Danio rerio: one gene and its partners. The protein of the gene in region 2 interacts with the protein of the main gene of each other region in a pairwise test. Links are inferred from orthologs where the notes say so. Each region holds a gene or a part of one and is shown on either strand. Other genes may lie near its edges.

Evidence for each region. The genes of interacting proteins can lie anywhere in the genome.
Region 1: the proteins of si:dkeyp-20g2.1 (region 2) and tsga10 interact in binary tests that used the Homo sapiens proteins (3 or more experiments, as listed by UniProt). The link is inferred for Danio rerio from reciprocal best matches to the Homo sapiens genes CCHCR1 and TSGA10.
Region 3: the proteins of si:dkeyp-20g2.1 (region 2) and sat1b interact in binary tests that used the Homo sapiens proteins (3 or more experiments, as listed by UniProt). The link is inferred for Danio rerio from reciprocal best matches to the Homo sapiens genes CCHCR1 and SAT1.

Annotation. Positions count from the first base shown.
Region 1 is NC_133176.1:52,964,970-52,969,250, reverse strand, and holds the start of tsga10 (testis-specific gene 10 protein), read right to left. Parts: upstream 2,928-4,281; coding exon 2,847-2,927; intron 2,481-2,846; coding exon 2,325-2,480; intron 1-2,324. UniProt on the Homo sapiens protein: Plays a role in spermatogenesis. When overexpressed, prevents nuclear localization of HIF1A.
Region 2 is NC_133180.1:24,140,760-24,144,412, reverse strand, and holds part of si:dkeyp-20g2.1 (coiled-coil alpha-helical rod protein 1), read left to right. Parts: intron 1-29; coding exon 30-197; intron 198-507; coding exon 508-606; intron 607-687; coding exon 688-839; intron 840-3,653. UniProt on the Homo sapiens protein: May be a regulator of keratinocyte proliferation or differentiation.
Region 3 is NC_133199.1:25,853,327-25,857,766, reverse strand, and holds the start of sat1b (diamine acetyltransferase 1b), read right to left. Parts: upstream 2,928-4,440; 5' UTR 2,751-2,927; coding exon 2,685-2,750; intron 2,408-2,684; coding exon 2,356-2,407; intron 2,279-2,355; coding exon 2,195-2,278; intron 1-2,194. Other genes in the region: acot9.1 (acyl-coenzyme A thioesterase 9, mitochondrial), read left to right, coding at 3,476-3,489, 3,678-3,766. UniProt on the Homo sapiens protein: Enzyme which catalyzes the acetylation of polyamines. Substrate specificity: norspermidine = spermidine >> spermine > N(1)-acetylspermine. This highly regulated enzyme allows a fine attenuation of the intracellular concentration of polyamines.

The DNA.
Region 1 (4,281 bases), on a different chromosome or scaffold from region 2:
AGGATAACGCACCATGTCATAAAGCGTGAATCATCTCAGACTGGTTTCTTGAACATGACAATGAGTTTACTGTATTCAAACGGTCTCCACAGTCACCAGAACTCAATGCAACAGAGCACCTTTGGGTGATAGAATGGGAAATTCAATCTGCAGCAACTGTATAATGCTATCATGTCAATATGGACCAAAATCTCTGAGGAATATTTCCAATACCTTGTTGAATCTATACCACAAAGGATTTAAAGGGGGTCCAACCGAGTACTAGTAAGGTGTACCTTATAAAGTGGCCATTGAGTGTATCTAAAATAAAGCACAAAATACAAATAAGATACAAAGAGTGTAAGCAATTCAAAATGAGGTACTGATGTAACAGGGGATTTTTAAATAGGGGATGACAAGATCATGTTTTCCAAGGCTAGTGTTACCTGAACCAGAGAGTGTTTCAAAATATTGTTGCAATTATTTTATGGATACCATAAAAATACCTTTATTATTGGAGAATTTGCAATTATAGATGTGATATTTTGCAAGTAAATGGTTAAGGAACCTTTCAGACCAAAAATGGTGGCGTAAAAAATGGTGCTATAAAAGGATTAAGCTGAAGGAAAATGAATGAATACATGGTTTCATTAGTCTTTGTCATGATGACATGACTTATTTTCCAAGATACTAGTGTAAAGTGCATAACTAGGTTAATTACTTTAACTCTAAAATAGTTTTTAATAAAAATTTAATTTTATTCCAGCCAAACTAAACAAAATGAGACTTTCAAGAAATTGTTATCTAATAAGAGCCTTTTTCTCAGCCTCCTATTTTTATTTTCAGTTATTTCACAGTAAGGGAACCAATTATTTGCCATAAAAGTGAAAACACTGAACTTAAACACAGAAACCGAAGAAGAATGATTCTTTTTTTATTATGTTTTAGCATTTTTGGGTATGCTAACATTGACCGTAGGATGAAAGGGCATCCGCTGCGTAAAACATATGCTGGATAAGTTGGTGGTTCGTTCTGCTGTAGCAACCCCAGATTAATAAAGGGACTAAGCCGAAAAGAAAATGAATGAATGTTTTGGCATTTTTTGCAACTCTTTGTAGACAAAATATAGAGGGGGTGGTATTACTATAATTAATTGACAGAAATGCAATTTAATATGCAGGGCTCATCAATAAGGACTGCCCGATGGCCCAGGGCCAGCGTAAGAGGTCCTCGGGACAGTAGATGGAATCGTTACTGGCCCGATTGGTGCAGTGCTGCCTCGTCACTAAATTTTAATAGACAGCAACATAATCACAATATCAAATTATGAAGCTAAAAGAAAACGTCAGCTTTTAACGTTGTGGAAACATTTAGATGGGTACAACATGATGAAAAAAATGAAGTGATGTTTTACTTACGATTTGCCGTCACTTTTAAGTCAGCCACCTTTTGTTTTGCAATAAAATACCTGCACATTTTCCACACTATATTTTACTGCTAAATATTTTAACATTTTTAAAATATTTAAATTCTAGATTAACAGACAATATTTTGTGACACATTTTTAATATATGTGGCTAAGAAAAAGCAATTACCTTTTTTTTTTGTTGTTGTTTTGGTGTGGCCCGTAAAAATTTTGACAGGGCAAGTAAAAATCTGAGCCACTGGTCCAAACGGGCCAGTAGGAAAAATCCTTAGTGTTAAACCCTGATATGTAATAAATATATGTGAAATATATAGTTTTATAGATTTAATTGTGATTGTAGTACATAATAGTATAAAATATTAAGTTCATATTCAGTAAGACTTTATTTTGATGGTCCCTATTTGCAATTTGTGCATGACTAAAAGTTGCATTGCAACTACATGCCAATTACTTCTCATTTGACTGTCTGCTAAAATCTGTTAATACTGACGTTTAACTGACTATATATAACTTTGCAAGTACATATCAACTTACAATAACCCTAACCCTAAACCGAACCCCAACCTAATAGTCTACTTATAATCTAATGAGAATTAGTTGCCATGTAGATGCAATATAACCAAATGTAACCAATGGATCAAAATAAAGTGATACCAAAATAGTATAAAACATTAAATAAACATTCTTTCATTCCTTTTAGAGAATCAAATCAGATTTAATATTTGCAAATCAAAATCGAACTGGACATCTGATACTATTTCAATTCATATTCAGTACCTCAGTGTCAGTGTCAAGTATGTGAACTTTTTGCTCTGTTTTATAATGTTTGTGTGTGTTTCAAATCCTAAATTTACACATACATTTAATTTAATTTGATTAATAATAATAATTTTTACAATAATAATAATAGTTAATCTACCTGCTGGTAGTGCATTCGGGTCTTGTCACGTTCAGCTGTGAGCACTTTAACATTGGCCTGGGTCTCTGAGAGATGCCGCTCATGTTTGTCCAGCATGTTCTGCAGCTCATCTCTTTCTCGTAACACCCTCATCAGCTCTGAATCAAATGAGCCGCCCTTAAATAAAACAGAAAGTCGACTCAGCATTAAAAGAATAAAGGAGTTAGTATTAAGACAAGGCACTGCAGGAGAATAGGATTATAAAAACGAATAGCTAACGTCCTATTTCCCTAGTTGATATATTACATTCAGAATTGCAAACATCTTTTTTGTATTACAAGTGTTTAAAATGTTTAAATACATACATTTCTGGAACACAAATCTGAAGTCAAGTCAGAATTCATGTTTATTTTTTTTTAATTTTTTTTATTTTAACATATTGGTGGAAATATTTTAATCACTCCACAATTCAGAAAAATATATCAAGAAAACAAATATTTATTTTTTTGCAAATTAAGTTTTAAAAATTTCTGTTCATAGTACTTTAACAGGTGAGTGTCTGACAGGACTGCGGTGAGTCGATGCCCCTTTGACAGGGCTGGTGGAGCGACGAGGCCTCAACATCTCTTACAGTTCCTCCTAAATCAGAATATTGTGAAACAGACATGGAATGAATAAAAATACATCCATACATACAGATGTAAAGAAAATTACAGATACATATGAGACACCTACTTTAAAAGATTAACCTAGCGTTTATAGCATAAAGCAACAGCTACCAGGGTTATCACCACAGGCTCTCTGACCCAGTTTTGACGGTTTCTGCTGCCCCCTGTTGGATCAAAAATGTTACTACAACTTGAAATTTTCAAATTCATATTTTATTTTTCACATACAGTCATGCACATGCAGTGAAATGCTTATACAACTGCCCATGAACTAGATTATAAACAAGAAATAAATTCTGAAATAAAAGAAAAAATTAAATACAGACAGGCTTTAGCTATAGAAAATATAACTATAGAAAATTTGAACAAACTACAAGATATTAAAAATGCTTAGCTATGTAAATATAGAAAACTTTAGCTGTAGATTTACACTATGTACAGTGAAAGAATTGGCATACACTTTTAATATATATCTTCCTGTATATTATTATAGCCAGGGATAGGCAAAAATACATTGAAATGTATTTTAAAATAAAATACCTCAGTTTTACAAGTATCAAAATAAACAACAAAATACAGCAGCAACAAATGTATCAAAATAAAATACTGTATCTTTGTATTTTGAAAATAAAAAATACTTTTACAAGGGAGCATGACATTTCTTCACAAACCTTCCATCAACGGGCATATTTGATCAATCCCTTCACCATTAAACAAACTTTCTCTTTCATTTTAGCATAAATTTTGTCCTGTCTTAAAGATGATCTCTTTATGTAAAAACCATGCAATGTAGATAATAAGTTAGAATATAGTTGATCTCTTCATTGCGTCTTATATCTCTATCAAATACAAATTACAAAATATTCATTCATTCATTTTCTTTTCGGCATAGTCCCTTCACCAATCTGCGGTCGCCACAGCGAAATGAACCGCCAATTTATCCATCATATGTTTTACACAGCGGATGCCCTTCCAGCTGCAACTCATCACTGGGGAAACATCCATACACACTCATTCACACACATAACACTACGGTCAATTTTAGCATACCCAATTTACATGTCTTTGGACTTGTGAAGGTCCATCCAACACAGGGAGAACATGCAAACTCCACAGAGAAATGCCAACTGACCCAGCTGAGGCTCGAACCAGCGACCTTTTTCAAATTTCAAAATACTATTTTGTATTTGAAATACGTATCTGAAATAGACGTATCAGGGATACTGCCTATCCTTTATTATAGCTAACATATTATTTTATCCTATGGACTATGAAGACTCGTTTATACTGTAAATTTGAGATTAAAAAAT
Region 2 (3,653 bases):
TAAAAAAGAGATGTGATTCCGTGTTGCAGGAGACAGAGATCTGAGCCACCTAAGGGAAGCTCTGTCACACAGCAGGGAGGAGCTGGAGGCATCAGAATCAAGCCGAATGGAGACACTGAGGCACTGTGAAGAACAAGAGGGGACCATCGCGGAGCTCCGCACTGAGGCCCAGAGACTCCAGCAGCAGTGTGACTCAGGTGTGTGTGAAGAACAGCTTCCCCTCCCCCCCGCTGAAAGCATTTGGTATTCACTTCACAGATTCCTTCTTTCTTTCATTCTCATTGCTAATAGTCTATTAACACTGTGTTTAACACTTGGGGAATTCTGCTGACTTCAATTGCTCGTGGCTGCAGGCTAATCATGCAACTCTGCTTGCAATCGCTCGTGTTCTCTGGTGAAGAATCGTTTGTGCTTTTGTGTATCCGTCTAATATTTGCTCAGGTTTGGCTGTAGAGTACAGATGCTTATATTTAAGGATGCGAAAGCTGATTGTGCCTGTTTCTGCAGTTTTACAAAGGGTATCAGAAGTTGAAAGTGTGTGTGCAGAGAAGCTCAGGGACGTGGAGGCTCAACTCAACACGGCGAGGAGAGAGCACACCAAAGCAGGTATACAGACTTAACATGCTAATGCTGATGTCATGGCTAGTTTTTGTGAATGATGTTCTGAATATGTGTGTGTGCGTGCAGTGGTAGCTTTGAGGCAAGTTCAGAGGCAGGTGGAGAGAGAGAAAGAACAGATGAAAGAAGCCGAGAGAGAGAGAACAGAACACACACACAGACAGATCACACATCTGCAGAAACAGCTGAAAGACAAGGACAAAGACTGCAACCTTCTCCTGGTGAGTCACACTCGCACACACACAAGCCCACACACTCTTTTTGAGGGGGCATCAGCGGCAGTCCTGGCTCACTTGGTGCCCTGGGTGAGGTAGGACCTAAAAAAAAAAACTAGAAACGTATGGAAGGAATAAAGGACAAAGAAAGACTGCATTCCACTGGATTTTTAAATCTTTGATTATGATTATTTAAATGAATTTGTAGATGTTTTTAAATTAAAGTCATCATGAAATCAAGAAGATCAACATATTTGCACATATGTGAGATTACTGTGAAATAAAACCTAGCTGCAAATTTCAAAGCTCTGTGTTCAGTTAGATTTCTTAAGGAATTAATTTAGATGTGCTATAGAATGCATTGATTCAATGTTAACTCATTCTCTAATGCTTAGGTTAGTTAATGAATTCTTCAGAAATTATTTTATATGTTCATTTATAAACAGAAATTCCACCTATCAGAAGCGCGTGTTTGACCATATTTGGAACTGTTGTGTATAATAATGAGTTGTGCTCTGATTCTTTCACAGCACATCAATGACTACGTTTACCTGGACATCAATAATCAAATTATTTGCCTTAATCTAATTAAGACAATAATGAGATTAAGGCGTTTATATGAGTTGCTTTTTAAAAGTTTCCTTCATGATCCCGTTTTACATGTTAAAGCACATAATTCGATTAACGTCATTGTGTCACAGCGAAATTCACATTTCCTCCGGATTTTCATGTAATTTCGTGTGTTTCATTTTATATTTGTCGACTTTAACTGCAGTTTGGCACTTTCATTTTCATTTAGGAACATTTCATGCATGCCCCCTGTGACAAACGAGATATTAGATGCTACTATGACCTGCTGGACAAGTGTAGTTTTAATGGAAGTTCATATCGCACACTGAAAGGAGGTAAAAAGCCTACAACATTTCACGACGCAGGTGTCTGTGGTCTGCTCTGACTCGGTAGGTGCAGAGAGTGTCAAACAGATGTGTGTATGTGGACTATCCTATTGCAAAACGCGTCAAAAAGTTCTACATCAAGTTAATAGTTCGATTAAGGTGTTTACATGTGTGTTCAATAATGCGACAAATCGGCATACTCCAAATGTCTTAATTAGATTTTTCTTTAGTTCGATTATGAACTTAATCTGATTAAATTAATCAAAAATCGCTGTTTACATGGTCGACTCTTAATCAGAGTATTGTCTTAATCGCATTAAAATCGAATTTCTGGTGTCCTTGTAAACATACTCACTGTCTGCTCTATCTTTCTCTATAGCCCCTTTCACACATACAGACCTTTCCGGAAAATTACAGGCAATTTTTCGGAAAGGTCTTAATGTGTGAATAGGCCCTTTTTGAAAAAATGGTAAATTTGTTCCGGCAATTGTAGTGGTTTCTGGTTTTTCTCTTACTAAATCAAACTCAGTCTGGAGGTTATGAATATCAGAAGAATATACTTTATTGTCAATAATAAAGTATATATATTGTCTATAATTTGAATATATAGATTAACTTCACACTTTAAAGAGTATAAAATCCACTTCACAATTTCCTGAAAAGAGAAGTTGTAACATTACCAGTAATTTGCCGGAATGCAGCTCTGTGTGAATGCAGAATTAAAATTGCCGGAAAGAGCGTGTGCACAATTAGAACGCACCTATGTGAAATGTCTTCTCCAGCCAATTAGAACAGTCAGACACACATCTGCGCTGTTTGTGAAAATAAAAGCTTTTGAATATTTTCTCGACACATTTAGCTGCTAGCTGTTAGTCGGATAACATTTCTAAGTTTCTTCTTGATGTCAACTGTGTAAAAAAATATCGATTAAATGCTTATAATAGCAGCCGGTGAGCGCCAGCACACACACACATATTATGTACATCTCCACATGGAAAAGTGTTCCTCCATATGTTTTTATTGAAGCTGTTCCCAATACTTATCCATCAATAGGATTTGTAATGTCTTCAAATATGTAAACATTTAGCTGTACTTTGTGTTTCTGCCTTTTGGATGTCTCAGGAAATAAAAAAATATTTATTAAAAAGTTTTAAAGTGAAATCAACAAAAGCCCGACCCCTTCTATGTTTACAAATACAAGTGCAGCCATTCAGAGGTCATTTCTGGTTGATGATGTCAGAATTTGCCGGTATTTTAGAATGGATGTATGAATGGTCTTTTCCGGAAAAATTCTCCTTACATCCTTATCCTTAACAGCGCTTTATTGAATTTACCGGTAAAGTCGTTTTTCGGATATTTATCGGTATTGCTATGTGAAAGGGCCATTTATATCTCTCTCACTCACACATATGCACGCACTCACATAATAATACTTAATTTGTCAAAAACCTTTAAGCAAATTGAGTAGAAAGCTTGTTAAATAGTTTTCAAGTGAAGTGGGTGTAGAGGTTTATTTTAGCTTAGAGGATTGAGTGAGCTATCTTTACCTAGAAAACTCCCCCTGAGTTGTTTTGTGGATGAAGGATAGTATAAGTTATTAGTATTCTTGACAAAATGGACAGGGATGTGTTTACAGTTATTTACAGTTAGCATTAAAGTATTTGAAAATACTTTTTATATTTATATCACATTTATATCAATCCTTTCTGAGAACGTTTTATTTTTAAATGAGGAGAAAAAATCGTATTACATTTAGGCCACAAGACTTGTCGGACTGTAAACGCCCTAGGTGCAGCAACTTGGAGGAGTTTACATCACCCCAGGTACATAACCTTGGCGTTGTATTAGAACTTAAAATTTAATACACATTTTTCAAGTGTGGTTGGAAATAGCTTTTACCAACTTCACCTTCCTTTAAAACTGA
Region 3 (4,440 bases), on a different chromosome or scaffold from region 2:
TAGTAATAACAATAAATTATACATAATTATATGCATGAAAACACTATACCTAACGCTAACCATCTAGAAAGTACATTGATTAGTTAATTAATATTACTTGGTACTTAGTCCCAATATACCGGAAGCTGTGATCATTATTTTAAGTATTGTGACACAGTTCCTAGAGAAACCGAATTTTAAATGAGCAAACAGTGGGCATTGCTTGTTTTGTTTTGTTTTTATCGCAGGCTAAATGGATGTAGTAAAGGGTTTTTAGAAGAGTTATTACAACTTAACAGACTCCTCCTCACCATTTGTTTGTTGTCAAAACTGACAGTTGAACCAGCCTGATTAAATATGTTAGCCACGCCCATTACCTCTAAGTAATGTAATATGATAATTTAACTGTAAACAAACAGGAAGTGCATTTTCAGATTTTCATTAAAGATCAGAAGGGCAAACATTTTTTTCTTAATGACATGCACAGATAAATTGTTCACCACAAAACTGGCAATGTGAGCTAACAAAATCCTATGATTAGTTTTGATTTCTTGGGGACTTTAAATGTATAGTTACACTGCAAAATAAAGTGTGACAAATATTTATCCAATATGTTTAAAATGCAGAACAATGTGACTGAAGTTTTATTATTTAAAAAGTTGTGTCATTTGATTAATTTGGACTTGCAGAAAACAACACGGATGTTTCAGGTGTAAAGTGCGTTTTTTTAAATAAGAGAAAAGTTCTAAAACTACACATATTAAGTGTAATTACACTTGTGTACTGTTCAAATTGACTACCCTTTGGTTATGTTGGTGGCTGTTTTTGCTCCACTGACTTCCATTATAACGACATTTTTTTATTGCAAAGCCATGGCACCAAATAATCGTGCATTCTTGATCGTTGGTGTTTTCCCCTGTTTGGATGAGATAAATCTTTATATTTTTACTGTTGATCATCAGTTAAAAGCATAAACTCTTTAGATAGACCTGTGCAAAAAAGTTTCTGACTTTTCTATGGAGGAAAACAGCAGATTATAGTGTGCGTGCATAAATACACTTGATATAAGTACTAGTATATGTTCTGAGAACTCAGCTGCTTATTTTTGTATTTTCTCAAACATAAAGGTAAGTGCGCAAAGGTCTCTTTCACACACACACACACACACACACACACACTATACTTCATACAACGATATAACTTTTGTCCAGAAAATAAGTTTTTTTTGCTCTGCAACTGATGATCAACAGTAAAAATTTGTACATTTACCTCTTTCCAACAGGGAAAACCACCAACAATCAAAAAGCATGATTACAAAATGTACTTATAATGAGAGTCAATTCGGCAAAAACAGCCAAGAACATAACAAAAGGGTAGTACATTTGGCCAGAGTGTATTATTGAATTTTTGAAAATATTTTAAAGCATTTTCCCAAAATATGTGTCTAAATAAGATGTCACCAAAAATCATTCCATTTGCTGAAACGCAGAGAAAATTGTGGCTAAATTAAGACTCAAAATCACCCCAGAGTGAATGAAAACATCCCCAACAGCACACATGGGTTAATGTGCATCTGACACGTATTATATTTGGTAGTCCTATTAAAGGGATTGTGTAACCAAACATTTAAATTTACACACCAAGTTGCATACACTTTTTTTCTCCTGCTAAGTTAAAAAGACATTTTAAAGAAAGCTGGAAACTGGTAACCGTCTGACTTATATTGTAGAACAAACAAATACTATGGAGGTCAATGGTTACAGCTTTTCTGGTTGTTTCACCTTTTGTGTTCAGCAGAAAGAAACTGAAACAAGTTTTTAACAAGGGTTAGTAAATATTGACAAGTTTATGTTTTGGGTGAACTATCCCTTAAAGCCAGGTTATTCAAATGTATTTATTTTTTTATTTGTTTGTAAATATTTTTTTTTTTACAAGTGAAAGGTGAGTAAATAATGACAGACCTTTCTGTTTTGGGTTAACTACCACTTTAAGCTAGTGGATTACAGTTTTTATTAATTATTTTGGCAAAAAAAAAAAAGACATTCACATGCATACAAATTTTTTAAAGTACTGTAAGTAAAAATAAGTATTTTAGTAAAATACGTATTTTAAAACATTTAGCTAAAATATAAGTTATATATAACAAACTTCTTCTAGTGAACCCCCCAAAAAACGAACTATTTGGATATTCAACAGGTTAAAGTCAGTGTTTTACCTTCGACTTTCTGATGCTCGGCTGACACGTCTGCGACCACACAGTGGTAAAACGGGTGCTCTCCGAAACCGTCCTCGAGCAGATCTAAACACAAAACTATTGTTGTAACTGTGGGCAAAATATTGATCAGATCTCACATCAGACACGTTGACGGACCTCACCTTTCTCAGTTATAAGAACTTGGTCTTCCATTTCTTCATACTTCGCGAGTTCCTGCAGAAGTTAGTAAAGAAAAGATGCTTTCAGAACAGTTGGACGAACACCAAGTCCTGTAGGCGGTTGGCCTATAGGGGTTGTTGTCATAGAAGGGCATATTTGGATATTTTGTAACCATTTGAACATAATAAATCAAAATAAGTGTGACAATAACTTTTTAAATTAGTACTTAGGAGAGGACATCAAAACGGGAATATTTATGCACTTGTTAAAGAAGTTTCGACAGAATATTCTGTAGTCCGAATATATATATATATAAATTGTACAATTCTACCTTTATGAGTCGCAATATGTCAGGCACGTCTTTGGGCTCCGCTTTACGCAAATTAAAATTGGCCATTTTCTTCTTTTACTCTTTTTCCCTTTTCTCACTAGTCCTCTATATGTGAAGTGAAGCAAAAGGTGTTTCTTCATTCGCTGTCCCGGGTTTTACCCTGCGCTGTCAAGTTTGGGCTTCTCCTGTGTGGGACTCGCATGCAGCAACTGACCCGGCGGATTTCACCTGGCTTCAGTAAATGTCCTTTGTTTATCAATGTCGAGCATATATTTGCCGGCGGGGAGGGGTTTAATCACCATAATAACGTTTTTTTCCTTTCGCGAACCAATAGGAGGTGTCCATTTGAGGTTCGTCATGACGCACAGCCCTTGTTGATGAATATGTATAAGTAAGATCAAAATACTGTAGGAATGTTGTTGCTCTTGGTGAATATACGTTAGTTTGAACGACATTTCCTTCATAATGATGCAGAAAAGATTAAAGTTCATGTCAAACGTTGTTTGAAGAGCGTTTCTCAAAACTTTATATGTCCCGCTTATCACACTGAAAACATTCAAAACTATGTCGTATTTACGGTAAAGGTTGAACCGTTAAGTGAAGGAAAATTCCTTAAAGATGCGCTTTTGTTATGGTTAATGCGGTAGTTAAGCCGCACCCACCACTATACGTTTCAGGAAATGCGAATCACTGCCCAGAAGGCTGACATCTCTGCTAGAAGCGTGCGGTTGTTTATATCAGCAAAAATCCGTGTTATTATACAATAAAGTGGTGAGCCAAGAACAAGGAAGATGCTTTCTCCGCGGTGAGTTTCACAATTATGTCTTGCGTCCCGCTTTTGTTGTGTACATCATTTGTGAGTCATGAATGAAGAGTTACAGACTAGTTCTGTCTCATTTTGTTCATCTTTTTATTGTAATTTTATTACGTGGCTATCAGTAGTTTTGTAATGTCCCCATAGACACGAATTTACACGTTTTTTATTCTTTATAGGGTCCTGAAGTCTGCATCGTCCCTGATGTGTAGAGGATTTTCTATGGGGCAAATGTGTAGACAAGGGAAAGCACCTGATATGGCAGATGGTATTTTTATATATATAAAAATGAATAAGTCATTCATTCATTCATTTTCTTTTCGGCTTAGTCCCTTTATTGATCTGAGGTCGCCACAGTGGAATGAACCACCAACTTATGCAGCATGTTTTTACGCAGCGGATGCCCTTCCAGCCGCAACCCATCTTTGGGAAACATCCACACACACTCATTCACACTCATACACTACAGACAATTTAGCCTACCCAATTCACCTGTACCGCATATCTGTGGACTGTGGGGGAAATCGGAGCACCCGGAGGAAACCCATGCGAACGCAGGGAGAACATGCAAACTCCACACAGAAACGCCAACTGACCCAGCCGAGGCTCGAACCAGCAAGCTTGCTTGCTGTGAGGCGACAGCACTACCTACTGCGCCACTGCGTTGCCTGAACAAGTTTTACACATACGCATATATAAATACATATACATGCATTAATACACAGCTATTGAAAAAGTTTCTTTAGAATTATTGTGGGCTAGAGTAAAATGTTCATTCATTCATTCAGATGCCCTTCTAGCTGCAACCAAACACTGGGAAACATCCATACTCTTGCACCCCAAAGGCATGTAGGTGAAGGTGAATTGGATAAACTAAATTGGCCGTAGTGTATGTGTGTAAATGTGTGTGTATGGGTGTTTTCCAGTACTGAGTTAGAACTG